4 linked regions of the Diceros bicornis minor genome follow. The protein of the gene in region 3 interacts with the protein of the main gene of each other region in a pairwise test. Links are inferred from orthologs where the notes say so. Each region holds a gene or a part of one and is shown on either strand. Other genes may lie near its edges. The genes, in order: EIF4A2, CCNC, TRIM39 and PLCD4.

Region 1 (7,517 bases), on a different chromosome or scaffold from region 3:
CTGCTACAGGGAGTATAGCAGACAGGTATAGTTAAGAAACAACTTTATTTTGAGCAGGGGGAACGACAACACAGCACTTAACAGCTATATTGTAGTCTGAATCCTGCTTTAACGAAAATACAAACAGCATTATTAACATTACTAAGTTAGAACACCTCTTACCAGAGCAGAAACTGTGAAGTCCCTGGCATGCATTTTCTCAGTGAGCCAGTCCACCTTGCGCCTTGTATTGAGAAAAATAACAGCCTGCGTAATCGTCAGTGTCTCATACAAGTCACAAAGTGTATCCAACTTCCATTCCTACAAGATTTCATATAGAAATTCAGCAGTCACTAAAATAATTTAGTTTCCAACTTACATTCATTAGAAATTCATCTATTAAGTTAATCTAAGGACATATTGCACCAAATCTTAAGACAAAGGACACTGGACATTAAGAAAGAGGTCCACCCCAGTCTTTACAATCCAGTGCAGTTACTTTTCTTCTTGTGTATACTCTGCTAGCATTATTACAAAAACCAAGATGTGATCCTAGTTTCTGCAATTTTAGCACAGTGCTTATACAAGAAGGATAAAAAAAAAATCTGGCTAACATTTTTATGTTAATTAAATTACCTCTCTTTCAACATTAATATAAAATTGTTTGATTCCTTCAAGGGTCAATTCTTCCTTTTTCACCAGAATTCTAATTGGATCTCTCATGAACTTTTTGGTCACTTCCAACACATCAGTTGGCATTGTGGCAGAAAGCAACACAACCTAAAAAAGACAATGATTATCTGTCAAACAAGTAATTATCATAATATTCAATTTCACAATACTCAAAAAATGTTTGAGACCAAGCGTCTGTCTTACTATGGAATTGTGCTAGACAGAGACAGTTATGCATCAATTGCTTTAAGCAGGGGGAACGACAATAAAACACTTCAGTTGTATTGTAACAGTACCTGCATTAATTACACCTGACCTCCGCTATAGGAGGGAGTGAAATAAAGCTCACCTGAATACTTGTATTTAATTTTTGGAAAATCTCATAAATTTGATCCTTAAACCCTCGGCTCAACATTTCATCAGCTTCATCCAAAACAAACATTTTGATCCATTTTGGAGCTGTTAAAAACAAAGTCATACTATCATCTCTCGATTCTCAGGAATAACATTGGAAATTTTTAATTTTAGCAATAGTAAAAACAAACTACACTCTCAACAGACAGCAATACTTACAAAGGTATCTTCTGTTTAACATATCAAACACTCTCCCTGGTGTACCAACAACGATATGTGGTGCTTCAGCCTGCAGTTTTTGCATTTCATTTCGAACATTGGTTCCACCAATGCAGGCATGACAAGTTGCTCCCATATAGTCTCCAAGTGCCAGAATTACCTTTTGGATCTAAAAAGCCAAAAGCCTTAATTATCATCCAACAGAATTACAAGCTCTGTGACTAATCTTCCAAAGCATAATGGCAAATATCTAGTCTGCAAACAGCTTTTATGCATGCACAGCACTCAACTACTTCCAAGCTTAAAATGCAGACTGATCCAACTGCCTCAAGATAAAATTCCCTTTACATGTCTTTTCTTGTGCCTTGTCAAACTTGGGATCCTGCTGCCCCAGATACCACCGAGGTTAAAGAACGAAAAACATTTCCTACATTTTCTCTTCATTGTGTAGGAAGATGCAAATAGCAAACAAGCTCTGCAATTACAGCTAGGACAAGCTGTTGATACTTTCAATTTTTCCCACAAGGTACTGTGACTTACATAACCTTGATCTTAAAGGAAAAAAGCGCCTAATTTTATTAGCAAGGTTTACTTCAAAGCCAATATAGCAGTGAGCTTTGAAAACACAGCATGCAACAGATGCATCACAAACTACTGAGACAGTCAAATGATAACATGTCACTGCAGTTTTCATGTTGCACAACTGCATTCAAACTCAAAAATGGGAACAGATCTAGTCCACCCTGGATAGCAAGCTTCCATTTCTCAACATTACACAACGCTGAAAAACATACCTGCACACCCAGTTCCTGCTGAACTTTCAATAAAAACTCCCTGCATGCATGGGTAGTTAAAAGGAGGACTCTGACAGGACCAATTTATACTAAGTTGTAAATTCTTCACAGTTGTGAAACCTGAAACCTATGCAACACGCAAGCAGTTTTTTTGAACTACACTATCAATACCTGTTGAGCCAGTTCTCTGGTGGGGGCCAATACTAGTGCTTGGGTCTCCTTGAACTCAATCTCCAACTGTTGCAGGATGGAAATAGCAAATGTGGCTGTCTTGCCAGTACCTGACTGAGCTTGAGCAATCACATCATACCCTAAAAAAAGTAGGATACATATTTACCGATCCCACATCAAACCGTCACTTCTAGTTCACACCATGTATTCCATTTGGAACATGAATTATGCCCAAATAATCAAGTGATCAGCAATGAGTATTCTCTTCATTTCAGGTCAGTCCCGAAAGATGATTGCCATCATTTCACTTAAAGGAATACAAACAGGTGCTAGTCCCCCAGAAGTTATCTCCCCTTTTATGGTCCAGGTCTATGTAGGACACTGAATTCATTTTTTAAAAAGTACCGAGTTCTTTTACCTTTAATACAAGGAATAATAGCTCGCTGCTGAATAGCTGAGGGCTTCTCAAAACCATAAGCATAGATGCCCCGAAGAAGAGACTCCTTTAAATTCATATCATCAAAGTTATCAACAATCTCATTCCAGTTGCTCTGCAAATTTAGAAGAAAAAAAAATTAATGAATGAGACGAACCAACTCACCTTTACAGAATTTCAAAATCCACCCACATCTCTTACCTCGATGACACCATCGGGGTCCATTCCCTCTGGGCCGCCATGTTCTCTGCTGACAAGAATAGTTCCGTTAGAGCACATCCCTGTCCCAAGCCAACTTAAACGGCACATCAGGGGGACAGCGCTTTCAGCACCTGTCACATCAAGTTAGCCTCCCCCGCACGTGTGCACTTCCTGAAAGAGCAAAGGAAGCTGGCGGTGCAGGGCACGTAACGTACCGGGCCTGCCCAGAGATTGAGCACCAGGGACGGCCAGAAAGGCCCCACGGACACCGGCCCTTCCCCCCAGGCCCGAGCGCCCGGCGCTCCCGTCTCGGCGGCGGCCCGTCTCGCGAGAGCTCCACGAGCTGAGCTCCGCCCCCTACACTGCGCAAGTCGGGTGATTGACGCGGGCCGAGGCCTGGCGAGGGCTATGCCAACGGTCCGCCAGGGCTCCGTCGCGGCGCGGCCCCATCCGCCTTCTGCAGTGGCGAGTAGGCGCCGCTGTCACCTTCCCCCGCCCCGCCTCAAGTCTAGGACCTCAACTCGCGCTGCTGGCCGCCCTTAAACCCTCGGCCCCGGTTACACTGCACCGAATGCGGGCTGCGCCACGCCTTTAACTAAACGTCGTGCTCCGCACGGGCAGGGAAACTGCAGAGACTTCAAAGCATCTTCAGGAGGAAAAATGATACCTTTAACCACTCCGTTTCCGTAGACTCGTTTCGTCTCCCCGCAATCCAGGCCCCTACCCACCGTGGAAGCTTCTCGAAGGACACAGGGGTATTGTACCCCAAGAAAACGCCTATGAACCCAAAGTTCCCTGCCTCCAAGCCATCTACTACAGTCTCCTCTGCAGCCGTATGACCCTCACCACAAAACACTACCGAAAAATAGCCATACCTGTTATAATCCGCGGAGCCACCAGACATGATCCGGAGAACCACTCAGCGCCCGACTGAAAAGACAGCAGGACCTCGCCGCCCGTTTTTTATAGGCTCGCGGCCGGAACCCGTTTTCTGCGGAGGAATTGACTCGTCGCCCTTCGGTCAGCCACAAAATTGTGACCCTGAGGTCCTTACCTCAGAAAATACCCCAAGCCTGTCGGTGGGAAAATCCAAATTTGGTTATTTCGCAATATTACAGGGTCGCTGGAAATCCCAGGACCCTGCGGGAAGTTTGGGACTCTTTGCATTGCGGCGGAAGAATATTGCAGCGGGCTGAAGCCCAGCCCCCGTTCCCCGCCCGCCGTGCTCCTACGGGGTTTCCGCGTCCCCGACGCAGAGGCGGCGCGGGGAGCCGAGCGGGACCGGGAGGCGGAAGGAAGCTTGAGGCGCGCTGGACGGCCGGACTTCCCAGCGGGCAAGTGGGACCGGTCTCGCTGTTCGCACCGGCGCTGGATGCCGCAGAGGCAGGCACGTCCGCATTCTGCACGGAGGGGAATCGCGTTATTCCGCTTGTTCCCGCCGCTGGTTAACGTGATGATAAAGAGCCGCCTGGCCTTTAGCCCGCGGGCTTAACATGCATTAAGGTCTTGAAAGTGTGCAACTCCTGCTCGGGGAAATGCCGGCCACCCAGCACGTCCCAGAAAATCTGGTTTACCAGACATTGTGCAGGGCGAGAAAAAATGTGTAGTGTCGTGTGGAAAGATCTCTGGAGTGGCCAACTCTATTCTCCTCATGTTGCCTCTGGTCTTGCTTTTTTAAAAAATGCTAATAATTTTAACAGGTGTAAGGAATGCCTGATAAAATCATTGTAAACTTTTGCAAATGGATAATACTAAGGAGGAGTAATTTTCCTTGTAACACAAGGTTTTAAATGGATGCTTCTGGCAGATACAGCTCCTTGCCGCTTTGGGACCCATCTAGTCTATATTACTCTTTTTTTCTGGTCTATATTACTTATTTTTTTTCAAAGCACTTTGAGTTTTAATTGCCTATATATAATGAATGCTGATTTATCGAAATTGAGAATACAACCCTTGCTGCTTAAATAAACTGCATGATTCTTTAAGCCCCAGATGTTTTCAACTGTAGCCCTAACCCAGGCCCATTGATAAAAACAAAACAATATTTTTAGTCATTAAACTTTAAAATACAATACTACCCACGCTGCAAGATATCATCACAAATACTCAGAAAAACATCTTATTAATTCAGAAGACCAACCTAAAGTCTGATAACTGGAAAAACTAACTTAATTTTCTATATTTGTATATTATATTTGATATGATATTTGGTTCTAAATACCACATATATTTTTTTCAAAATACCATTTATTTATTTGAAAATTATTATCGTGCCAGGAACTGTCACAAAAACTAATACCAAGAGATAGAGTGGACTTGGCTGTCAGTGATGCTGCTCCTTATCCCCCTGTAATGTTCAAATCCATATTTGAGGTAATACCAGACATTTCGGAGAATGGCAGTTAGGGATCTTGATTGTCTCGTCCAAAACCTACTAAAACTCTCCTGGGAATCTGAGAAACTGGAGAAAATATTAAATCAGAAAAGTGACCAACCATTTAGTCTCACTTGAGTCCTTAGGGTGAAATCAATCAACAATTAACACCTAATTGTTGAGTGTTTTCTTTAGGTTTAGCACTACTGCTACATGCTGTGAGGATTTCCAGAGTTTCTTAAGAGGAAATAATCAAGGGCTAAACTCTGGTTTATGTCACAATTGCTGAAGGGGTTTCAAGGTAAGAAAGCTTCATAGCCTAAAATCCAGTCAAAATCCAGACCCACATTGCCTGCAACTCTACAATGTATTTCTAATAAACGCTGTGCTTACCATGTTGCATACACTTACTAAATACCATTAATAAGTAATAAATGAGTTAAAGATCCAAAACATTCATATTAACAAAGTTTTGCATATCGACAGACACAGAGCATACACTTATGGTTAATATAAACTTTTCTACTTACCTGACATCTAAAATTAGATAGCCTTCTCAAAGTCAAGTATAAGTGCTTCTTTGCCAACCTGGAGCAAGTGAGGCCTAAAATTTATACTGCAAATGATGCTAAAAATCAGATTCTTTCCTTATGTGAGCCACCTAGTCTAGTTTTTTTTTTTCTTTAAATGAGGAAGATTAGCCCTGAGCTGACATCTGTTACCAATCCTCCTCTTTTTCCTGAGGAAGATTGGCCCTGAGGTAACATCCGTACCCATCTTCCTCTACCTTATGTGCGGGACGCCTGCCACAGCATGGCTTGATGAGTGGTCCATAGGTCTGTGCCCGGGGTCTGAACCCACAAACCCTAGGCCTCCAAAGTGGCGTATGTGAACTCAACTACTACACCACCGGGCCAGCCCCACATATTTAGTTTTGATCTTCAATAGCCTCAGCTGACAATTCTAAACCCATCTAGCAACTGTAAGCCAAGGTTCGCCAGAAGAATCAAGGAATTAGTACAAATTTGTTAGTATGACATGGAAAAACAATAACAAAACCTTGAGTATGCTTTATGCTGCTAGTGACATCTTCCTATGGAAAGTACCATGTATTCTCATTCAGGGGGTATTGTGTGCCATCTTGAGGTTCTTACATTATTTTAAGTCCATGAGTTGATATTAAGTGATAGCTACCCATTTAAAGCAGTATCTTGATAAGCTATTGATATGCAAAAGTTTGTGAAGGTATGTGTTTTGGATCTTTAACTCATTTATTACTTATTAATGTCATTTAGTCAATAATGTCAATAATAATAAATTATTAGTAGTAATACCATAGTAAAAACACAGTATAATATATGCTGTCCCTTCATTTATAATTTAAATGTTTAAAAAGAATTACTTTGAGCTGGATAGAGACTGTAGTGCTACTCACTTCTTTATTATTCGGTTGCTAGAGGAAATTAGAGGCTAGATTCTGCTTGAATATAAGCAGTGTTCTCCAAAGCAATTAGGAAAGTGGCACTCACAGCCACATTTTTCACAATGACTTTTAAAACCATTTGTATGAAGATAAGTAAAGACGTTAATAGCGTTGAAGTAAATGGAGAAAATTGAGGAGGACTGTGGAAGGGACTGTTGAACTATATAAGGACTGGGTTTAAATCCATTAATCCAAGGTTATTAAACTCTATTGTGGAACCAAGATATGGAAGTTTTTCTAGCTCCACCCTTGTGAAGAGTAAAGTAAGTGTACATTATTGTACTTCAAATCAGTACATCTAAAACTGTGGTATGCATAAAAATCAATGGGGAGATCTATTTGAAATGCAGATACATGTGAACTCAGCCCTCCCATTCAGATTCAGTAGATCTCATCTGAGGTGGGGCCAGCTTTTATTTTGCAGAATTCTAGACCTGAAAAGAAGTTCCAAGAATAAAGTAATGAATACCAAATGTTTGTCACGCTTACCAATTGTTAACAGTTTACTGCATTTGCTCTCTCTCATATTTATCTGTGACTTTTTCTGAACTTTCTGAAAGTTACGGACATAGTAGTGACCACTCCTAATCAGCACTACATCCTAAAAACAAAGATGTTCTCCTTTACTAAAACCACAAAAATATTATACCCTGCAAATGTACTATCGATACAATAATATCTACAAAACTATGTTCAACGTTTCTCAGGTGACCCAATAATGTTTTTATAGCCTTTTAAAAAAAGAATCTAGGATCCAATCAAGGATCGCACATCATATTTAGTGGTCCTGTCTCTTTAGTTTCTTTTAATCTGGAACAGTACCCCTGAAGCCGG
Region 2 (7,289 bases), on a different chromosome or scaffold from region 3:
GAGGCACCATAAGTTTCCTAATGTTTCACCATCAAATATCTCTTAATGCTTTGGTATGTTTTTATCACATTACAAAAGCATCCTATTTACGTTTTAGTAAAAGCTCTAGTCAATAGATGTTGAATTTTATTACATGTCTTCTTGGTGCCTTCACTGTTTATTAACAGATTTCCCAATATTGACTATACTTCTACAATAAAATCACTGTCATTTTTTTATACTTTTAATGTAACGCTGGACTCCATTTGGTAATATTTTATGTTTGCATCAATATTCAAAAGTGAGACTGTTTTTAGTGCTACCTTTGCTAGATTTTATCAGCGTTATCATGGCACCATAAAGAGAACTGGAAAGCTTTCTTTCTCTGTGACCTGGAACAATGTCAACAGCAGATTCGCCTGAAAACTGAGAAAAAATTTATCCTTGAAATAATGTGGGCCTAGAGCATTTTTTAAGTAGTATCCCTCTGGTAACTTTCTTAAGTTGTTTTGGCTTTCAAATTTACTACCATGGAAACAACCCAAAGGTACATCTGGGTTTATTTACTTTTCTCATTCCTAATTTTGTTTTTTTTTGTGAGGAAGACCAGCCCTGAGCTAACATCTGATGCCAATCCTCCTGTTTTTTGCTCAGGAAGACTGGCCCTGGGCTAACATCCGTGCCCATCTTCCTCTACTTTATGTGGGACGCGGCCACAGCATAGCTTAACAAGTGGTACGCTGGTACGCACCCGGGATCCGAACCGGCGAAGGCCGCCACAGCAGAGCTCGAGCACCCAACCGCTTGCACCACCGGGCTGGCCCTCTAACTTTGTATTTTTGTATCATTCCTTTTCACCTTGATTCAGCTAGCAGTAGTTTCATCTTGTTTTGGTTTTCTCTTCCAAAGAACCAGCTCTTTATAACTTCTGACAATTTTTTTTCCTTTTAATACATTACTATCAGTGTTACCTTTATTAAGTCTTTTTTTCTGTTTTTCTTAGGTTTATTTCACTGTTTCCTTTTCAATATTCTTAAGTAGAATATTTGTTTTATTTTTATTCTTTCTTAGTTATTCAGTTAAATTTTCAATTATGTTGATTTCTCAGTTATGTTAATTTTCTTAAATTTGGCGCCAGCTATAATCCCATAGATACGGATATATATTGATCTTATTATGTTAGTTCCTAGATATTATGTAACTGTATTTTCAGTTACCTCTTTGATACAATAAAGTATCCAGAGTTGGTTTTGTAGTTTTTATCTTTGTTACCTGTTTGTTAATTCATTCAGTCAACCAGCAAGTATTTAGCACCCTTCTAGTTTTACTGCATCTTGGTGAAAGAATGTGCTGTGTTCTACTTCAACTTTGTGGAAAATATTGTGATTCACTCTGTTTCAGAATTATTACTAATTTCATCTCTACAGTCATTTTATGTTTTTAAAAATATAAATTTCACATAGTATGGAAGGTAAAACCAATACGACTTGTAATTCTAAGATTCATCATTATTTATGTGTTACTAAGAAAAAAAATTGCCATGCTGATTTCAGAAATGTTAAAATGTGCAACTTGGAGCCATGAAATACAGCATATTTCAAGTCAATTTTCCCTTTTCACCAAAATCACCTAAAACAATGGCTTTCACAATCTTTTTGTTTGTTTGCTTTTCCAGAATTGACTGTCTTGTCTTTCATACTCGTTACCTTTTGCAGATCATGGGCTCCATGATTCGCAAGGGATCTGAGTAGGGCAAAGTGGCCCCTTCCTCCAGGACTATTTGAATTGGGAGGCAAGGACAGTTTCAAAAAACCACATTTAATATTATAATAATTTTATATTTGAAAAGTGAAAAAATAATTGCTTTTATAAAATAGATCCTGCCCCCCTTGTGATAAGTGTTCTCATTATGCCAACAGTAAATGAAAGCCTAATGAAAACACTTATCAAAAGGGAGGCAGGATTTTTTTTTAGAAAGTTGAATACCGCTATAACTTCTGACAACCAACAGCTAGCTACCTGTTAATTCTCTCAGCTTCTTTCAAAGTTTATCAGCATCTCTCTTCTCCATCACCTAAATTTTCTGTATTTTAATTTTGCCCAAGCAAATATTTCAGTGAGTGAAAACAGTGTAAAATAAAAATATGATCAGAAGTAAAGCTTCTAGAGCATTTCCTCTCCACAGAATCGCTTTAGAGCAAAAGGAAAACTTGCTTTTCTAAAAATAGGTTTCCAAGCCCACTGTTTTTTTTTCGTGCAAAGGGCTAAAAAAAAAAGAATAACAGAAATCCGTCTTCTTCACAGAATCAAAATTTAAGTTACAGTTACTAATGCTCTTATCATTAAAAATTATTTACACTAAGGTATCATCTTCAGATTTTGTTCACCTTTCAACTGCACAGAGGAAAGCCTGGTCAAAGTTCAACTAGTCCCATCACCCATCTTCCTGCCTAATTAAACAAATACATTTAGGGGGCAAGTGTTTTTCATATTACTCTAGCTCTTCCTGGAAGAGCTAGACAGAAACAATATCTTATTCATGAAAAAGGTTAAAGAAATCGGCAAAGTCACTGCAAAATAAAACATATGGCACAGACTAACAAAATGGATAAACTCTGAGAGCACCTGCCCTAGACCTTACCAACCTAAAACTCCATCGAGGCATAAAGTAGTGGCAGAAAGCGGTTAGTGGGAGAACAAGCCTGGCTCCCCCTTCTCCCCGGAATAACATCAAATCCACTCAAGACAGAGGAGGAATGACAAAGGACGACGATGCCGATCCCCTGAAGAGATCCCAGGCCAAAGCGAACCACAAGAGCCAGCCTCAGTCCTGACTGTGTCACACTTCCCATACCTGTCCCCACCCCATCCCCCCCACCCCAGGCCTAGCTAATCCGAGAACCCGAAGTTAAACTCGCGAACCTTCCTTCCTCGGAGACTGAACCCTCTCCCCCCGCTTCCCGCTCACAGATCATTCCCCCCTAAACCCGGCCAGGGGGCTGGGAGAGGGGAATCGCCAGAGAAGAGCGCATCCCGCTTCCGGCCGCCGCCGCCTCCCGAGAGACCCCGCGGCGTCGGGACAGGGGCCGGGATCCAGGCCAAGCCGAGTCGCAGGCCCGTCCTCAGCGCCCCCGAAAGAGCCGGCCCCGGGCGAGAAGACGGAAGGCCACACTTACTAATGGGAGCTCTGCCAAAAGTTCCCTGCCATGGGACACAGCCTGCCCTGATAAAAAAGCACCAGCCGGCGGAGTGGCCCGCGGAGCGACCATAGACCCAGCCCGCCCGGTAACCGCGCTCCTCAATCTGATCTGCTCGGCTCCGCTCCGCGGCGGCGACGGTAGAGGAAGAGGATGGCACCGTATTCGCCTTGACGCCGGCCGGCAACACTACTGCATAAATCCGTTCCTATGGATAAAAGTTCCGCCCTCTCCTCCTCCCGCGGTAGCGGAGGAAGCCGGCGGGGAGGAGATAGCTTGCGCGCGCACTGAGCTGGGAGACGAGAACTGGTGCTCCCGAAGGCTCGCTGCGATCGGGAGGCTCTCGCGAGAGTTTCGCGCCGATCCTGCCCTAGAGCCGTCCGGGCTCGGTCGTCTGTGGGCAGCGCACGTTGACCGTTGACCGGAGTACGGATGAAATGGGGGAAGTAGCGCTGTTCGGGGTGGTGGTGTTTCGTCTTATAGGCCTCCACAGCAGTACTATGACATTGTATTAAAGTATAAGATTTTCTGACTTTAATTCTTTCTCCTGCAATTGGAAAGAAAAATAAAGATTATTTTGGCCTCAAGGACCTACCGAGGGGCCGGCAGGGTGGCGCAAGCGGTTAAGTGTGTGCGCTCCACTGCGGCTGCCTGGGGTTCGCTGGTTCGGATCCCAGACGCGCACGAACGCACCGCTTGCCAGGCCATGCTGGGGCGGTGTCCCATATAAAGTGGAGGAAGATGGGCACGGATGTTAGCACAGGGCCAGTCTTCCTCAGCAAAAAGAGCAGGATTGGCAGAGGTTAGCACAGGGCTGATCTCACAAAAAAAAAAGGACCTACCGAAACCTACCAGCAGCAAGCCGAATACGTTGTTAACGGAATTCTTTTGGAGTGAAGCGCAAACTTGTAGAGCAGCAGTGTTTTCTTTTAAATCTAGAGAACCGCCAGTTTTGCAGAACAGCTAAAAACGTTTTCCTCTATTACATATATATGTATATGTAAATATGTACACACATGTATATTCACATAGATGTACCAAATAAAAACATACAGACAAAATGAAATAATTTAATTTTGCAAGATGAACTAATCTGTATTTCCCATTTCTATTATCATTGTGACATCGCATTTATTGTAAAAGTTCTAATTATTTTTCAAAATAATTGGACACACTTGAAAGTTGTTCATGGAAGATCCGTGTTCCAAGGTACCTTAAGACAGTATTTTTCTCACTGTGGGTGGAGACCACTTAGGGTGTGGTGAAATTGAGTATGATAAGTATTTTCCCAAATGAAATAAAACAAAATATCAGGTATGTCAGAAAAAGCAAGAGAATTATTTTAAAATTTTGATTTAGTTACCTATGTATATATGTACTAAATCAAAATGTGAAATGCATGTCAGTAGCTTAACGTAAAAATATATTATGTCACATGTCACTCCCATCAAGTCCCATAAAGTCTGATGTAGACTAGTTTGCTCTCCCTGGTGGTTATCCTCCACATCTTCAAGCATCTAGTATGTTTCCATCTTTCAACTACTCCATTTTGGTTTTTTGCCTCCAGGCTTAAAACCCTTCTAGAGAGAGTGCAGAGGACTCTCACTGGCTCTTAATCAATGTTAAGAGACTTGAACCAGAGAACAACACAATCACTTCCTCTCAGGACCTGTTGACCAAAATAGGCTCATGCCTCTAATCTAACTGCAAGAGAGGCTGAGAGATGTAGGAAGCATGTGGTATATTTGACAAACACTATTGTCTGTTATGTTGCAGATCCCAGTCAAAAAAAGTTTGCAGGACAGTAGCTTAGGAACATCAGGCCATAAGCTACTTAACAGAGGTTCAGAATTTCTTCAACTCCCAGGTTGTCAGCCTGACACCATCCAGAAGATAAGCACAGTTCGACAAAGTAGTATTGTTAAATGTTTTGTTCTATTTGCTCCTCTTACTTTGCTTTGTTTCTACCACTAGACTAGCATTCTGTTTTATATCTATTCTGTACTCTTCTTCCCATAAAACTGTGAGCCCCTTCATCTTTGTATCTCCATTAGTTCAGGGCATAACACATGTTAGGCACAGCAGATATGGTATTTGAACCTGACTCTTATATAATTGTGGTGGGAGGGGTGCTTAAAGAAAAAGACTATAACACTATGGACACAAAATTAGGTTGAAAATTGAGTATTTAGAATGCGAAAAGAAATCACAACAAATTACTGGAGCCTTGAAGATTTAGGTCCCTTCCTTCTGTGAACTCTTTTAGGCAATTTACCAGAAATGCTTCGTAGAAATGCTTCCTGTCTGCAACCTGGTTTCTGCTCCCCACCTAGAAATCCAAATACTCAGCAGCTCCCAGTGCTCCCAGTGGCCATGCAAGTCAGGGTCCTGAGCTTATGCTTCATTAGTTTCAGGGTAAATCATCTTTGAGGGTACTTGATCAATGTAGGTTGAATTGAATTGACTTGAACCAAAATGAACTTCATTTAAGGATATCTCTGGGGGGACCGAGCAATTTACAAAAGCTGTTAAAATGCCTACATATCCCAGCTTACCTGGATGCAAAAGATGATGAGCCATGTAGATTTGCTTCTTTTTGCTGATAGTTTGTTAAACTTTTCCTTATAATTTTAGGAGTATTATTTCTCAGTCCTCACTACTCACAGAATTTAAATTTACTGAAATCAATCAGTCTTGTCTCGTCTAATTCTTCCTTTACCTTGTGATTTTCAAATAGGGATGTGATCAGTAAATTATTGATGCTAACGTTGATTCTTCTGTGACAAAAAAGTATTTTTTTCTTACAATGCTTTCTCCAGCAGCATGAATACTATTTCTCAGAAACTAGAGCCTAGAAGTTTAGCGGCTTTATCAGGCTTACTTAGCTACTTAGTGGCAAGAATAGCTAGAATCCAGTTCTTCTGATTCCCCCTGCAATGAGCTTTTCACCCAACTTTTCACCCAACCCAGTTTCAATAAAACTGTAATGACTAAACTACTGTAAACACATTATTCCAGGCTTGTAGTTGAAGTTTCTCCTCCCAAACACTATTATTGGGGACTATCTTCTCACTTTTAATTAAATTGTGATTGTAATTTGCTTTGGTACTAATAGTCTTTATTGTGAAAATGTCCTTTTCTCTATCTAGTCATTCACTGTGCCTCCTTTTATTTTAATTCTTGGATACCTGTACTTGTTGAAGATGGCTAAACCTCTAACTTACAATAAAGCGTACTAGTTAAGAACTCAGTCTCTGAACCATACTGATCGGGTTCAAGTGATAGATCTACCACTTACAGTTGTGTAACTGTCTTAGTCAGCTCATGCTGCTATAACAGGATATCATAGACTGGATGGCTTATATAACAGACATTTATTTCTCACATTCTGGAGGCTGGGAAGTCCAAGATCAAGGTGCTAACAGTTTTGGTTCCTGGTGAGAACCGTCTTCCTGGCTTGCAGATGGCCACCTTCTTGCTGAGTCCTCACAAGGCAGAGAAAGAGAATAAGGACACTAATCCCATCATGGGGGCCCCACCCTTGTGACTTCATCTAAACCTAATTAACTCCAAAAAGCCCTGCCTCCGAATTCCATCACATTGGAGATTAGGGCTTCAACAGATGAATGGGGGTCACATACATTCAGTCTATAGCAGTAACCTTGGTCAAACTCCTTAGTCACTCTAAACCTCAGTTTCTTCATCTGTAAAACAGCAATTATCATACTTCCTAAATCATAGAGTTCTGGTGAGGTTTAAATAAATCTTAAATGAAATTAGAATAGTGCCTGGTACATGGTAAGAGCTCAATAACTCTTTGCTTTTACTTTTTTTTTTTACTCGCAGCTTTTATTATTTAAAACAAGTTTAGATCCTACAATCTGGACTATAAAGAGCTGTTTTGAGAGATTAGGATAATAGTGCTACCTTGATACACTAGGTAAGTGTACACTCTCTCTTAACACTAGCCCTTGACACTTTAATGCATTTGTACTCCACAGGGAACAATAATCAAATAGGTTGATTTACAATGTGCCGGTTAACTCATGCTGTGTTCTACCCTGGACACTCCTAGGTTTGGAATCCCCAAACAGTTTGGGGGATTCTGGAATT
Region 3 (8,094 bases):
AACATAATTAAACAAAGTACTTGATAAAGTGCTAAGACATTAAAATCTCTAGTTCAAATTACTCAAACATTTACCCTGCGTCCCAGCAGTAAGTTAAACCAGATGCCATGTTATCCATTATCTGGGGAAGATGCAAACTACAGACTGGTTCAGTTTAGTCTGGTGGGGATCAGGCTAAAGTTATGGTGCCTATTCCCAATACCAATGGGAAAAAAAGGGACATTCTGAGCAGGGGGAGAGAATGAAGAAACCAGACTACTTCTCAGTTCTTCCTAAGTTTGATTTTTTCCATGTGGTTTCATTCATTTATGAAAGACATGATACATTCCAAGACCACATATACTCAAAGGTGTTACAAAAGTCAGAGAGAAATTTTGCGGTACTCCTCACCACTGCTCTTCTTCATGCTTGAGGATAACCGATCAGGTGTACTATGTGCTCACTGTATATGTAGCTCTAAGGGGACTACAGAATGAGGATCAGATACCATCTTGCCCTCAGGAGCATCTGATCCTCTACCCAGGGAGTCTCCTATCCTCTGTGCTCCTCCCTCTTCCCTCTTGTTGGCATCATGCGCCTGGTTCCCCACCTTGTACTCCTGTGTGGCATCGTCCAGTGGCACGACGGTGTGGGCCCGGTGGGTGTGGGAAATTGCACATATCAAACATACAGCCTCCTGGTCCTCATAGCAGAAGAGGCTGAGGGCTTCATGGTGCTGGGGGCAGAGGCTCTCATCCCGGATCTTCCGCTTGACAGCCTGGAGCTGCTTGGCAATTTCTACCATACTGCCTAGTTGTCGATTAGGCCGGAGACTGCGGTAGCGAGATGTCTTTCGACAGACAGGACAAGGGAAGTCCCTCTCTAGGTCCTCCCACCAGCGGGTGATGCAAGCTTTGCAGAAGTTGTGCCCACACTCAATGATGACGGGCTCCTTCAGATACTCCAGACACACGGAACAACTCGCCTCTACCTGTAAGTTCTCCAGAGCTGCAGCTGTGGAGGCTGCAGAGGCCCCAGCCTCTAACAGACTTGTCTCTGCCATTATTTAACTTGGGAATAGGAAGGGGGCAGATAAAAGAAAAATATTAGTTGGAGATTTAATTTTTCTGCATCCTTAGCCTGACATTTACCCCCATGTTATATCCTAACTCCAGATGTAGCGCCATCTTGGTGCTTTACATCTTCTCTTCCACTAAATTCAACCCGTCTTTTGTTTCTCCATTTCCAAAACTTGTGACTCCCAGCCATCAATCTAATTTTTTTCCTTCTTCACCAAACTGACACGCAACCCCCAATTTCTTCTGTCTTTTACCTCTGCTTTCTTTTGTTAGAAACAGAGGCTTCCTTCAACCCAGTGTATTTCTCCTGATCCAGGCTGATACACTTACATCTTAGAACCAACAGTTCTAGACTAATGTATCTGTAGTTTAACATATTTTTCTAATATGTTAGAAAGGAGTTTGGGAAAGTGAAAAGAGCCATAGAAGTCAAAGTATTAATTAAGATTTCTTAAATTAACTATATTTTAAAGTTTAATGTTATAAAGAGTTTTATTACAATAGTCCATGGGAGGGTAAGCTTGATTCTCTGCCACTGGTCTCTTACTCTTTCAAAAGGCGATAAATGGCATGAGTTAGGCAAGGGTAACAACCTCTTCTTTTCAGGAAAGTTTGAAATTCTTCCTTTCATCAGACTAGCCTAGAGGAAGTGTACTCTCTTCTTGGAATGAAATGATTCACACAACATCCCATTTCTATTTGTGTGCATTTGGACACTTGCAACTGCTGAAAAGTGGTAAATTCATGGCAACTATAGTAAAGAGTATATTACTGAGCCCAGGCCAACAACTTCTTGAAAAGAAGGCTGACAAGTCTGTTCTAAATATTCAGCAGTGATTGGAGTCTTTTGAAATAGCTATTGATAACTAAGTCCTTGGACATACTGTGCCTCCAACTAATAGGTTCTAGAGTGGCTGGGAATTAAAAGAAAGAAAAGAGGCAACAAAACCTCCCTCAAGTGAAGCCTCAAGAACTGGAAATGGACCAAACAGATTTATAAAGCAGAAGACTGGTCCTCTATCCTTAAAATGTCACCTCTTTTATCCATGAAATAGTTGATTTCTCTATCCCCATAACCCCTCCTGTCCACCCTCCCTCCTCCTCCCTCCCAAGAGACTCAAAAGAAGGAAATTTAGTAGGTCTATGTGCTGATAGATAAGTGGCCACGTGATAAGTTGGGTTAACAATGATTATTGCTGTATATATTGATGGCACACATGAAAAGTGTTTAATTTGGAGTAGGAGTTAATAACTTATTTGGATCTGAATTTCTTCCCTCAACCAGGAGAGGAGTTCAGTTCGATTTTTCTCTACCTATGGAAATCCAACTTTGACTAGTGACCCTGCCCCTTCCCCAATCTTCTAGAAATTAGGTGGCCTCCTCACCTGGAGTGAGTTGAACTGTATGCAGTTAGGGACCAGGATGGATCTGGACTGGCAAAGAAGTGGTGTGAAAGAGAAATGGGGAAAAGGTTAGGGAAGTATGGAGAGGGCTTGGAGCTACAGCCATAGCGAGGCCTCAGGTGGCTCTGGGTTGGTCATTTCTTTCCCTCTATTCCTCGTGTCTCAGTAGAAGGGCAAACTTCAGGGACGTCCTCATTTTGTTTCTAGCACTGTCCGGGGTCCCACTTTGCGACCCTCTCCTGAGCGTGGTCCGCAACTCGGTCCCACCCCGGTCTCCATCTTCTCCCGCCAGATCTGGCGCAGGGGGATTGGAGAGGAGGGAGGGGTGCGTGTCCAGGTGAGGAGTAGGTGTGACGTGAAGGTGGGATGCCCGCCGCTATGACGCAGCCGAGACCCGCGGTGACGGCGTCAGCGTTTCACCCGGGGCGGCGAGCCGCAGCGGGACGGGGGAACGGCGGGGTAGCCAAGCAACGCCGGACGCGCTGACGTCGCCGGGGCGGCAAAACGTCCGCCCGGGCCCGAGGCGGGCGGAGGCAGCTGTGGTTACGTGCCGGGGGCTGGTGACGCAGTCGCGGGGCGCTGGGACGCGGCGTGCGGAGCCGGCCGGCGGGGGCAGGCCCCAGGGCCCGGCGCGGCGGCGGGACAGCACCTACCTTCCCGGCTTCGGGTCCGGGAGTGCGGGGCGCGGAGCCGCCGGAGCGCTGCCTCCCTCCTTCCTCCTCCCCCCGCCCCCGCCCCGCAGCGCGACACACAATACTCGCCGGAAGCGGAAACCGCGCCGAGAGGCTCGTGTCAGTGGAAGCCGGTGTGTTGCCGGGCGGCCACGGGAGGGGTTAGTGGTGCCTGTGGAGGAAGGAGAAGGCGGGGGGCCGGAGGTGAGAACCAGCAGGAGGAGTCGGGGGCGAGAAGGGACCCGGAGGGGCAGGTGGCTGAAATGCGGTCGTCCAGGTGACCCGAGGAATCCTCCGGGGAAAGAGGGCCGCGCATGCGCGAGGTTGAGCGCTGAAGCCCATTGCCCGCAGGGCGCCGACGGGCTCCGGGACCGGCGAGGCTGTCCCGTGCAGGCTGCGGGCCTGGGCTCTGGCCAGGCCCGTCTGGTCCCGGGTGGGGCTGGGAGCCGCCGGGGGCGGGGCAAGGGCGGGTCGCGGACTTTGAGCTACACTTCTCCTCTCTGCGGCCCGTCCAGGGGGAAGGTGGCGAGTGGAGGCGGCGGCCAATTACGTAATTGGCGGACCTGCGGTCTCGGCTGGCACGTCACTTCCGATTAGTTGAGTTTTTAGCCTTTTAACATTCAAGGACTAGGTGAGTTTTCTCTACTGTGGGCTTCAAGTACTCCTCGCCCTACCCCTGCGTGGCGGCCTTTGTTGAAATTATCTGCCTTCCCCGCCAGCGTGGGAGGCCGGAGAGAGCTGGTACTGCGACTCCGCTGTTCACCTTTGTATGCTCAGCTCCTGGGTCGGGGCCCGACCGCAGGAAGGGCGCGGCAAACACCCGTTAACTGCATGCGGGCCAAGGCCTGTTCTTTCCACTTTTGGGACTGTGACTTGAGTTTCTGCACAAGAGCAGATGGTGCTTGTGTGAGGACTCCAGACTTTTGCATTATAGCCTCGCTGCTTTCCTCTCCTGCTGCTGGAAGCTTCGCAGCCCTGTGACGTTGGAGGAAGAGGGTGAGGTGATGAGGCTGGGAAAGTCGCTGAGAGAGGTGTGATGAGCCTGGGGAGGAGGTGCTGAGTAGAGATGATGGAGCTGGGGAGGAGCTAGTGCTGGGTGGAGGTGTGATGGGGCTGGGGAGGAGCTAGTGCTGGGTGGAGGTGTGATGGGGCTGGGGAGGAGCTAGTGCTGGGTGGAGGTGTGATGGGGCTGAGGAGGAGAGTGTATGACGCTACTAGTAGGAAAGGCAGCTTGCCCTGCCCTCTCTGCCCCTACACTTGGCGTGCAGAATGTCGGCTGAAAGAGATGAACAGATTTTGGTGTACCCTCCGAGAGGAAATGGCCCAATGGCCCAACATGTTTTTAAGTTGTGATGCTGTTTACGAACACTGTGGAGTATTTAACCTCTCATTCTGGGAGCCAGAAACTATTTACTTGCAGAAAATATCAAATGTGCAAGGTATAAATATTTAGGATTACACATCTAAATACAGTTTGTCTACTTGTTCTTTACTGTTCCTTTGTTTTTCGTTCACGTTTTTCCGGAGTCCATGATTTAAAGAGGATTAAACTTGAGAAAACTACATTTATTAACTTTTTCCCCCTCATTGCTTTTTGGCCATTAGGCATTTTTGCAGCAGTACTTGTCCTAGTTCACACAATGCCTCAGTTCTAAGGTAGGGTAGTTTGAAGGCCACTAACTGGGCGGTCAGCCTCTTTAGCCTTGCTTTAGAGGGAGAGTGGTGTTTGTGAGGTTTGGTTCTGGTTTTGATCTGTTCATTTGTAATTTTTAAGGTGTTACTAGCCCTCCATTCTGGCTTTCTGTAGGTGAGCAGGGATGTGGTTAGACTAAGGAAATTCCCAGGAGGAAGTGCATTTCCAAGGATTATGAAGAATGTGTTTGCCTGGAGACTAATAGGTTATTAAGATTTTATGCTGAATATGGAAGGAGAGGGGGGAAAATGTCTAGGTAAAACTATAAAATTATGAAGGACATGTAGTATGACATAGAACAGGGATTGGCAAACCTATCTGGAAAGAGCCAGATAGGACATATTTTCAGCTTTGTAGCCCACACTCTTTGTAGTGTGAAAACAGCGTTTGACAATACTAAATGAGTGAGCGTTGCTGTATTCCAATAAAACTTTATTTATGGACACTGAAATTTGAATTTCATATAAATTCTTCACGTCATGAAATATTATTATTTTGATTTTACCCCCAATCATTTAAAAATGTAAAAACCATTCCTAGCTTGCGGGCCATACAAACACAGGTAGCAGACCATAGTTTGCTGACCTCTGACATAGAACAATAATGAGGTACATGGTATTTTCCAAGAGAGAACAATTGGGAAAGAGAGTGAACACAATGATATGATCTCTTATTTCCATCTGTCTATATAATAACACAAAATAATAATAAAGGAAATCTGAGCTCTTAACACAAATTTATTATGACCTGTGAAACTTTGTGGACTGAGATTTATGTACTAGGGTAGAAGTACATTCTTTGAACAAGGAAGTGTATTCTTCGTTTAAAATTAAAAAGGATTGTAGTTCCAGAGAGGTGGAATAACGCTGAGTTGTAATGTTGATTTATACCAAGAGATTTCCAACACAGGAGTGTACAAAAATGAATTACAGTAATGAGATACAGGGTAATTAAGAAATTTTTTTAATATATATTTTTAATATTGTTTTTGTATCTGGAAAGGAGAATAAAAGATATCTTGAAACCACTGAGTCATATAGAGGAAATAGATATATTAGCAGTGCAGGTGGAAAATTGGTTGAGGTCAAATATGGTAGGATGGGTAGGGAGAGGGTTCAACTGTCCAGACTTCCGAGATTCTTAAGAAAAGGCAAAACATCTAATTTTCTCTCACCATTTTTTTTCATTATGAAACATTTCAAACATATAGAAGCAGTCTTCAATTTGCTTATTATACTTTATACTGGCTTTTATCTTCCCAGTTCAGTAACATAGAGCTACCTCACTCTTTTTCAAGTCTGTATTATTACTTCATTGTGAAGATATATAATTTATTCAACCATTTTATTACGAGTATTTGGGTTCTTTCCAAGTCTTATTAAATAAAGGCTGTAGTGAACATTCTTGGACATGTATCTTTTTTCCCCAGTTTTATTGAGATATAATTGACATATAACTGTATTAATTTTAGATGTACAACATAATAATTTGATATATTTGCACATATATTTTTAGATTGTCATGCCGTGTATTAGTAGGACAAATTCCTGGAAGTTGGGCTGCTGGGTCAAAAGGCATGAAAATTTAAAATTTGAATGGAGACCTCCAGTTTCCTTCCCATAAGAGTGTACCTATTTATACCCACATCAGCATATTACAAGATAGCCTGTGGAGCCACTGCTGAAAGTTTCATATTTAAAAAATTTACTGGTGGGTGTTACAGCTTTACCAAGGAAAGCAGACCAAGTCTCAGCTAGCAAGGCCTTTGGCTTTCCTGCCCAGCGTTACACTGCTATTGATTGTGTGGATTTTCTGGCCTCTCTCATTCTGGAACTTCTGCCATTATAGATTGCCTTTGAGCATGGGATTTTAGTACCTTGTTATATTCTGAATTGTTCTTTTGCTTCCCTCTACCCCCTGACCTATGTAAGTTTTTAATTAACTCATTAAGATTGTAAGTCACTAACTTTAAAAAAAGTAATCTTAGTAGTATCATTTATGATTCCAAATATAAATAGTATAGGTCCTCATTACATGTTTTGTTGCTTTTTAATTAAAAGTTGACTTCTACCATATGTAGGAGGTTACTCCCTGGTTGTCAGTGGTAAAGAAAGGAAAATAGTGAACTTATCTCTTGTGCTAGGGAAAAAGATCATTTATTTGTTCTTGTGATTTTAGGGGCACAATAAATAACATTTTCTTTTCTCCCTACCAGTTTCAGAACAAGAGAGATACAAGAGTCAGACAGAGACTAAAATACCACCTTTATTAGCTTTATGAAACTAATTGGAGGGAATAGCTCAGAAATAGCTAGTTGATTTGCTTACTCTCCCTTGATTTGAGCTTGCCACCCAACACTTGAGGCTGCCCCCTCCCCCGCCATCAGAACTTGCCAGCTAAGTTTCCATATGGCTGGGAGCAGATGAGAAATCATCCCCTCTGTGTTAAGATTTGAGACGAAAAGGGCAAGGAGCTGGGCCAGGCATGCTCAGCTCTGCTCTAAAAACTGCTGGTTACATCAGTCCTCAAAAGGCCAGGGGTCAGGGAGGGGGGAGTGATTGGGGGGAAATCTCAAGGAAACCATGAGAATGAAGAATAATTGTTTCCCCTAATTACTTTAAAACTAGATAGGTAGGTAGGTACACAGATACAGATATACCTTTTTAAATTGTGAAATTGACACATTCAGAAAAGTCGTAAAGCTAAAAAATGTGGCACAGTGATATTTCTGTGAAAAATCACCATGGAACCACCATCCAGCTCAAGAAATAGAACATTGCCAGCCATTCAGAAATCCCCCTCCCCTGTGCCACCTCTTCATCATTACCCCCTCCCTCTCATACAGCCGCCCTGACCTCTACGGTATTTTTGTCCATGCTTTTCTTTATAGCTTCACCACCACCTAAGTATGTGTCCCTAGATACTATGTAGTTTAGTTTTGCCTGTTTTTCTATGTTAATGTAAAAAGAGTCGCATATTGAATGCCTTTGTATGTCAGGTTTCTTTTGCTAATGTTACGTCTTTTATTCACCTGTTGTTGCGTGTAGCTGTAGTTCATTTGTTTTCACTGGTGTGCAGTATTCCATTTTATGAACCTGCCATAATTGATTCATCCTGTTGTTGATGGACTCTGGACTTTGCCAATTTTTGGCTGCTGTGAGTGTTCATGTGTGTATTTACATGTGTGTGCTCACAGTTGTGAATAATTCTAGTAGTGAAATTGCTAGACCACTGGTTAAATATATGTTCAACTTTAGTAGATAATTCC
Region 4 (7,861 bases), on a different chromosome or scaffold from region 3:
TTTGAGGGCGTCCTCTTTCCAGAGGTCTAGGAGGGAGCCAGAGGAATTCGTCCATCCCCTTTCCTTGGCCGGGGGTGGTATGGATCGTGAGCTTCGATTATGTCTCTAAAGTAGACTCTCTTAGATGTGTCCCATGATCATATGTTTAGAGGGACCATAAAGTGTTTGGCCAATAGGAAGCACAGCGTTATGATGCAAGTATGATATTTTAAAATATTCCTCATTATGGCTCACATTTATTAAACGCATCCTGGTTTCAGGTCCCAGGCTAGATGCTTTATACATGAACTTATTGAGTTTCTGTAACCTACTAGGCAGGTACTGTTGAATCCCCATTTTACAGATGAGGAGACTGAAGCTTAGTTTAAGTATCTTGTCCAAAGCCACTCAGCTAGAAAGTGGCAAGCCAGGGCTTTCATCCAGGCAGTCTGATGCCTGAGATCATGCTCTTGTTAGAATAAGAATAACAAGACACAACCTATGAGTTACTGGGCCTTATTATATGCCAGGACTCTTCTAAGCCCTTTACGTGCAATAACTAATTTAATCGTCATAACGGCCTTTAGAGGCAAGTTCCATTATAATTTCCACTGTACAGGCTCAGACATAGACACAAGTGGGACAGCACAAGGGCACACTGTAGGACCCCCCCCTGCTCTCAGGCTGTGGGGCTCCTCAGGGTCCTATGCACCCACGTGCCCACCCATAGCTATGCACATCACTCACAGCTCGGCTTGGCACTGCCTCCGGCCTGTCGGGAATGCCAGACTGTCATGCCGTCATCCTGAAGTCTGAAGTATCTCAGTTTCTTCCAGCTTTTGGACCGCACCTTGCGCATTGGTGTGCCTTTCTGCATCAGCAGCAGGTCTTGATTGATGGGCAGCCCTGGGCCAGGAGAAGCGGGGGCTGGATAGCTGGTGGGGAGGGTGGAGGGCCCAGGAGGAGCTCGGGAACAGGGGTCCAGCCTCCTCCCTGTCCCTGGGCTGTCTCCCCAAGCCCTCTTCTCCTGCAGGGGTACTCACGGCCTTGCAGCAGGGACGCCATCACCCACTGCTCCACCAGCTGGTGCTAGAGTCACCTAAAGGAGCAAGGAGGAGCAAAAGGCTCATCTCACCGGTCTTAGAATCACAGATCAAGGGAGGAAGAGAAGGAAACCAGTGTTTCCTGACTGCTCGCAATGTGTCAGCCCTTCACCTACAGAGTCTGTAGCTCTTTGTACTTCTGAGTTTGGTGGCTCTGAGGCTTAGAGAGGCTAAGAAATCTGCCTCAAGTCACATAGGGATTCAGAATTTACAGCCAAGTATGTCTGATTCCAGAGCATTTGCTGTTTCCCACAGCCATCTCCAGAGAGGGCTAAAGCAGGGTTTTCTGCCAAATACTCCCTCCTTCCCAATACCCCCAAATCCCTTAGGTAACCCCGTGCCACACTTCTCAGCTCCCGTTATTAGGAACCACCATCTTGCTGGCTGCCCCCTTTCAGAACCTGGAATCTCTCTACATCTAGCCTTCTCTTCTCCAGGTGGAATCATCCCTTCCCTATTCTGGGAGCCCTCTCCATGCTAGGGCTCCTGAAGGGCTAGGGCAGAGCGTTTCTTTTGTCTCTTCTATAACAAATAAGCCATCTTCTTCTACCCTCACATGGTAAAGCATATTTTATACTCTTTTTCATAACAGTTATTCTCACAATTTTAATGGACCAGATAAATTACATAGTTTCAGAACTGCATTTTCAAGTTTTTTCTCTACCTATTAAAAAGCGTTCCTCCTTCAAGATATATGCTAATTTAGGACCTGGTTAAGTTGTCCTAGTAGATAACAACAAACTTGCCTTGAAAAGAACTAGAAGGTGTGATACGTGGCCACTTTGATTCTAGCTCTGCCCCTATAAGAAATACTCAACTCTTGACCAAATCCTTCTGAAACTGGCAAAGCTTATGAAACAGAAAACTCTAGGCTTTTGTATAAGCAAAGGGTCTAGACTTGAATTGCAATGTTGTGTTTTTTAATTGACAAGTTTAAAATTTTGACAATGGTGAACATCTAAAACACCAAAAGAATGTCTAAAGCAATCATTCAGTTAGCGCTCCATGAAAACATCATGCAGTTTAACTCCCTATAGTTTACAAGTGAAAAAGCAGAAGTCAGAAATGTGATCTGACTTATCTGGGGTCACACAGCGTATTACTGCCCTGTCTCTCTCTAGTGGGAAGAGCCTATAAAGCCACCCAGGGGTGACTAAGTCTTTAGGAAGAATGTGGAAGTCACTGAGAATGCGGCTTCCCTGACTGCAGGACCTAGAGCCCAAGACTTTCTAAAGGAGTAGCAATGCGCAGGTGCACAGAGGGACAGGGGAAGGTTGGGAATCAGCCTGTACCTAAGTGGGAAAGATAACTCAAGGCAGCTCTCAGGAGAGACAGAATCCTGAACAATTCCAAGAAGAAAAGGTTTTGCTGGCTGAGGCTGAATATGTGAGCCTGGGTGAGACCAGAAGAAGCCTCTGGATGGAAGAAGGGACCCAGAGTGCTTCCTGGGAGACAGAACAGCATTTCTGCCTTTCTGGGTGGAGATGCACAGTTTGGAATCTGAAGCTTGCAAAAGCTATGAAGACGGAAGTAGAAAGTAACAGGTCCCTCTTAAATGCCTCAGGTCCTCAGGCTCTGGGTGGGGGTGGGGTCAGTGTGGGAATGAAGTCCAATCCCCTTGCCAACATCCTGCCTTGTCTTCTCTCTGAACTTCAGCTCCCCAGTCTGGGGCACAGGGACTCTGGGATGGGATGGGCCTTGGTCCTGGGAGAAGACAGAATTACCTTCTCTCATGCCTGTGTCCAGGAGCCTCACAATGATGTCCTGAAACCTGGGAAGCCTGAGAACAGAGCCCAAGTGCCAGGACACCCCTATTTTGGAGCCTACCTCCTCTCAAACCAGCCTTAGAAAATTATTTTATCCTCTTTTGTCAAACTCTTCCAACCCCAGGGCTTGGCGTGTTCTTCCAGTCCTGCTTCCGTTCCTGAAGCACGATCTTAAACCTGTATCCAGGGATGTGTGGCCATAAGAGGGCCAATTTCAACTCAGGGAGCCACAGAAAGTCACAGCTGGCCTTCATGTTATAGAGAAGGGGACAGAGGAGTAGAAAGATTAGCTGAACTGCCGGAGTCACCTAATGAATTAAGTGGCAGAACTGAGACTAGAACCAAGGTCTCTATATGACCAGCTTGGAGATCTCACCAAGACTCTGCCCTTAGAAAGGGCTTTCTCTAGGAAGCAGGTTCAAGCAGAGCTAAGAATCAGCAAGGGACATGGATGTTTGGTCCTCTCTCCTCCATCATTTCTGTTCCCACCAAATCCCACTCAATAGCCTTTCCTTTCTTTCTTCCTATTTTCTTTCCTTTCCCCATCCTCTGCCTGACCCTCCCTTTTCCTTTCTCCCCAGCTCACTCTTCTCTCTCTTGATTCCTCTCACTGCCTCCCTATTTGCTCACTTAAGTCAGCCTCTCTTTGCTCTCCTCTTCTCATCCTTCTTCTCATCCCTTCTCCCCATCACCTCTTCCTCTCATTTCTCCTCCAGTTCCCAATAGCTCTGGTTCTCGTCCTCTGTGAGGATTTGAGACTGTGGTCCAGGAAGGAGGACACTTGGGCTCAGACACTCAGTAGCACATTCCTCTGCTCAGCCTCACTTTCCTCTGTATCCTAGGAGACTGACCAAACAAACTGCCCAGAGAATGGCACTTAGAACCTAGGTGTTCTAGGTCTTGGTGTTTCCTCTGGTGTCTGAAGGTAGGATGGGAAGGATGGTCACAGCTGATGCAAGTGAAGTTAGGAGAGGAGGGACAAAGGATTTGGGAGTGGGAGCAAGAGCAAGGGGCAAAGAGCAGAGGACGAAGACTGGGAGTAAGAAAGATTGGGTCTTAACTGTCCACTCCCAGACACGTATGTGGAGATCCCTGAGGATACGGAAAACTACCTCTATAATACAGATAAGAAAACAGAGACACAAGTAAGGTGGCAAGTGGCCAGGGCTGCGGAGCAAGATTTGTTCCTCAACTTCCAGGTGGCTTATGTCACCTAGAGATGGACTTCAGCAGAGTTGCCAGTGGTGCCAGTGGCATTACAGGGGAATTCAGGGTGTCTCAGGCCTCTCTGAGGGGCAGGAAGGAAGAAAATCATTTTGTCTGCTCTCTTGCTTCTGAGCAGGATTGTTCCTGACCTACTTCACATAAGGAGGACAGAATGGCTCTGGTCATATGTCATAGGTCATAGCCCTCAGAACGTTAGAGCTTGAAGACTCTTTTATAACATATCTAATCCGGAGGTTCCTGGCTATATCAATATTCCCTGGAGAGTATCTTAAAATAGAGATTCCTTAGCCCCACTCATAATCGACCAGATCAGCATTTCCAAGGATGGGGCGCAGGAATATTTATCTTTCACAAGCACCCCCGACACACAGGCAAGTCTGGGAAACCCTGAACTCCCTCCTGTTACAGATCTGGAAGTTGTGGTCCAACTAGCTAGAGCATGGCTACTCCTATTCTCTCTCTTCCCTTACTAGGGTGGGGTAGCTAAGAGGTCCCCATATACAGAGGTGACTGACACAGCAAGGGGAAAACCGTAAGTCAAAGAGGATAACCTAGAGAGAACCAGGAAGGTGGAGCCTTTTAGACCTGTTCAGGCAAAGGAGTCCAGGGTACAATTTAAGCAGAGTAGATAGCATGTGGAGGGCAGAGCTTGGAGCAGAGGCTGGTCAGAGCCTCCAGGCCCTTACCGTGGGCAGGGTAGCAGTCCTGCGTCTGTGAGCTCCGCGATGCTCTCCACTGTGGGACGAGGAAACCCAGCCAGGCTCCTTTTCTCTTTTGCTCCTCTCGTACTCCTTTGCTTCCTTCCCTCTTCTACTGCAGCTTGCTGCTGTCACTAGCAGTTACAGCCAGAGGGAACGAGTAGGGTGGGGAGAGGTGTGAGCTCTTAAAGGCCCAGGACACTGGTCAGTGGGGTGGAGAGAAAAGGATTAAGGGGAGGGATTGATGGGCACCACGTCTCCAGGGAGGAGGAGCCTGGCTGCCCTTCACCTGGATGCCAGCCCTCACTGACCCCAATCCCACAGCAGCTCTCAAAATGAAACTCAAGGAGTGTCTGAGTTGCAGTGTTCCATGAATCACTGCTTTTCATTCTGGTCCGTTTCTCTCTGCATGTTATTTGGCTGTCTTTGCCCTTATTTCATCTGGCTCCTTTCCAGGGTGTCTGTTTCCATCAGCCTGCTTCTGTGTCTCCGCATCCTGCCTTGCAGGGCACTCAGTCTAGTTCTGTGGCACAGGGAAAGGAAAACAGAAATAGGATGGGAACGGAGGCAGATGAGAAGAAAGCGTGGAGAGGAATGATCTTGGAGTGTAGAGGGACAGGTTAGTATCTATGCACTCGCTAGATTTAGCACTCGCTAAATATTGAAGGAAGGCATACGTGAATGTATGAAACAATATACTTATCCTTCCTTTACATTCATTGGTTCTACGAGCATTTGTTCAGCCCCTCAATATGCAAGGACATATCTGCGTGTTCGTAAAGGAGTGTGTAGAGATGAACAGACTCATAATATGTAAGAATCGAGGGCAGAAGAGGAGCACAAGACTGGAAAGACACCCAACTGGGGAAGGGAACGTCAGGAGCTTCTTACAGGGTGAATAAATGGGCAGATGAAACAAACCTAGACTGAGGAAAGAGGACCAAGTTGGGAGAGGAATAGGAGATTGTAAAGGGCTTTATTTTGGCCCCTTGCTTCACAGTGAGAAACTGAGGCCCAGGGCAATGTCCTGGATGCCTGTGTCAGCAGCAGGGACAACCAGTCCCTTGTACTCCCCTAAGCACTGTGAGCTGGGACCTGCTTTTGCTCTACCTGGGGGAAGACTGCAGGGTATGGCTCTTTCTGGACCAGAGGGTGACGGTAAGTGAGGGCATAGGGCACAGCCCTGTACTTGGACCTCTGTGGGATCCTTTCTAGTGAGGTGTATCTGAATCACAGGCACAGAGGGAAGTAACTGTATGAAAGGACGTGGTTTTGCCGTGGCCCCCCCACAACACCCCTCAACTGCCTAAGATTCTGCCATTAGTGATTATTTATAGCTAAACCTTTAGTCCCATTAAAATAAAATCCTCCTAAGTGATTACCATAAATGTCAGGATAGTGGTTAGTTTGGGGAGGAGGGAGGGGTTGTGATGGGATGGGGCACAAGGCTGGCTTCTGGAATAGCTGGCCAGTTCTGTTTCTGGTCCTGGGCGCTAACAAGGGTCTTCCCTTTATAATAACTTATTAAACTATACATTTTCTTTATGTAGTTTTCTATATCTGTTATATTTTACAAGAAAAGGGTTTCAAGTTTTTGTAACTGGTAATTTCTGAAGCCTTATTGGTCTTTCATAATTTATTCCTAGGTTGAGTTTACCATACTCTACTGGGAGCAGGTTTTTTTTTTTTTTTTTTTGAGGAAGATCAGCCCTGAGCTAACATCCACGCCAATCCTCCTCTTTTTGCTGAGGAAGAGTGGTTGTGGGCTAACATCCATGCCCATGTTCCTCCACTTTATATAGGACACCGCCACAGCATGGTCTGACAAGCGGTGTGTCGGTGCGCACCTGGGATCCGAACCCGGGTAGCCAGCAGTGGAGCGCACACACTTAACTGCTACACCATGGGGCCGGCCCCTGAGAGCAGGTTTTGATAAAGGAAGAGGAGTATGCGGGGAGTGGAGGCAGAAAAGAGAGGCCCTTCCTGGGGAACAGAAAGATTAGGGGGCACCAAGATTTAAACTGTGTGGATTTCAGATTTACTTAATGGAGGCTCTGTTTCACACGCTCATCTTGCTCTCCCATTTCTACTTCCCCAACACCTCACGTCCTTATTTTTCCATGCTTCCCCTTCTCATTCCTCACTCCTCTTCTACACTCCAGGACTACACACAGTTTGCCTCTTTCTGAGTCACCATTTGCTCCCCTAATTGCTGCCCAACCTCCTTCCCTTCTGGGTGTTCTGTGAGAGGTATTCTCTCTCATCCTGGATTTTCTGCGAGCCCAGATCTCAAGTATTCTGTTTCAGTATTCTCATAAGCACACTAGTTCTCCCCAGATCTTGTGTTCTGATTTTGGGACAGGCCATTGGAGACTTTCGAAAGGTTAGAGTGGCTCCAAAGTGTGGCTTAGAAGACACGCCCGCTGAAGGATGCTGTTTACATCCAGGAAGGGAGCAGACACACAGGCCCTGGGCACAGGAACTGTCCATCTGGTTTAGTTGTTCCTATTTCCATAATGATCCTAGCCCTTCCCCCACTGTTGTCTATTATTAACAGATCCAGAAACCTGATCGGGGCAGCGGCAGCAGCAGAGGGACTTTCTGGGAACCATGCCCAGAAAAGGCCTAGAAGCCCTAAATTGAAATGAAGGGGCAGCTGGCAAAGAGGCAGACCTAAACACTGTACTCTCATGCTGCCACACAGGCCAGCCTAGACCCTCCTCCTGACACCCAGCGGAGGTGTTCTAAACGTCTCTGCTTCTCAGGCTGGGGATTCAGAGACCTGTTCCCTAGCCCATCCAACCAAACTACTCAAACTGAAATAAAGCCCATCTTCTTGGTGGACAAAAAGGCAACTCAAAATATTAAATTCCATCTAAAAAATAATTCATATGAGACCATCTGTAGAATTAAAAGCCAGGATATATAACTTCAAAAGACCAGAGAAAATATAGCCACTCCACCATTCCAGGAAATTTAAAAAACTAACAAAAAACCAAGGGGAGGGAGAAGGACGAGGTATAAAATAAACCAGAGAACGCAAGGATAAAAGTTAAGATAAAAAAACACTAACGGTGTAATATTCCAT

The links.
Region 1: the proteins of TRIM39 (region 3) and EIF4A2 interact in binary tests that used the Homo sapiens proteins (3 or more experiments, as listed by UniProt). The two-hybrid records come from large-scale screens. The link is inferred for Diceros bicornis minor from reciprocal best matches to the Homo sapiens genes TRIM39 and EIF4A2.
Region 2: the proteins of TRIM39 (region 3) and CCNC interact in binary tests that used the Homo sapiens proteins (3 or more experiments, as listed by UniProt). The two-hybrid records come from large-scale screens. The link is inferred for Diceros bicornis minor from reciprocal best matches to the Homo sapiens genes TRIM39 and CCNC.
Region 4: the proteins of TRIM39 (region 3) and PLCD4 interact in a two-hybrid assay, tested with the Homo sapiens proteins (2 studies listed by BioGRID and IntAct). The two-hybrid records come from large-scale screens. The link is inferred for Diceros bicornis minor from reciprocal best matches to the Homo sapiens genes TRIM39 and PLCD4.

What each region holds. Positions count from the first base shown.
Region 1 is NC_080754.1:37,266,044-37,273,560, forward strand, and holds the start of EIF4A2 (eukaryotic initiation factor 4A-II), read right to left. Parts: upstream 3,097-7,517; 5' UTR 2,935-3,096; coding exon 2,827-2,934; intron 2,741-2,826; coding exon 2,608-2,740; intron 2,500-2,607; exon of another isoform or gene 2,431-2,499; intron 2,330-2,430; coding exon 2,190-2,329; intron 1,394-2,189; coding exon 1,225-1,393; intron 1,111-1,224; coding exon 1,001-1,110; intron 954-1,000; exon of another isoform or gene 829-953; intron 760-828; coding exon 616-759; intron 573-615; exon of another isoform or gene 395-572; intron 301-394; coding exon 163-300; intron 110-162; exon of another isoform or gene 1-109. UniProt on the Homo sapiens protein: ATP-dependent RNA helicase which is a subunit of the eIF4F complex involved in cap recognition and is required for mRNA binding to ribosome.
Region 2 is NC_080762.1:34,327,997-34,335,285, reverse strand, and holds the start of CCNC (cyclin-C), read right to left. Parts: upstream 3,033-7,289; 5' UTR 2,955-3,032; coding exon 2,902-2,954; intron 1-2,901. UniProt on the Homo sapiens protein: Component of the Mediator complex, a coactivator involved in regulated gene transcription of nearly all RNA polymerase II-dependent genes.
Region 3 is NC_080753.1:34,653,776-34,661,869, forward strand, and holds the start of TRIM39 (E3 ubiquitin-protein ligase TRIM39), read right to left. Parts: upstream 3,102-8,094; 5' UTR 2,445-3,101; intron 1,050-2,444; 5' UTR 1,043-1,049; coding exon 590-1,042; intron 1-589.
Region 4 is NC_080776.1:8,972,062-8,979,922, reverse strand, and holds the start of PLCD4 (1-phosphatidylinositol 4,5-bisphosphate phosphodiesterase delta-4), read right to left. Parts: upstream 3,103-7,861; coding exon 2,968-3,102; intron 1,007-2,967; coding exon 727-1,006; intron 1-726. UniProt on the Homo sapiens protein: Hydrolyzes the phosphatidylinositol 4,5-bisphosphate (PIP2) to generate 2 second messenger molecules diacylglycerol (DAG) and inositol 1,4,5-trisphosphate (IP3).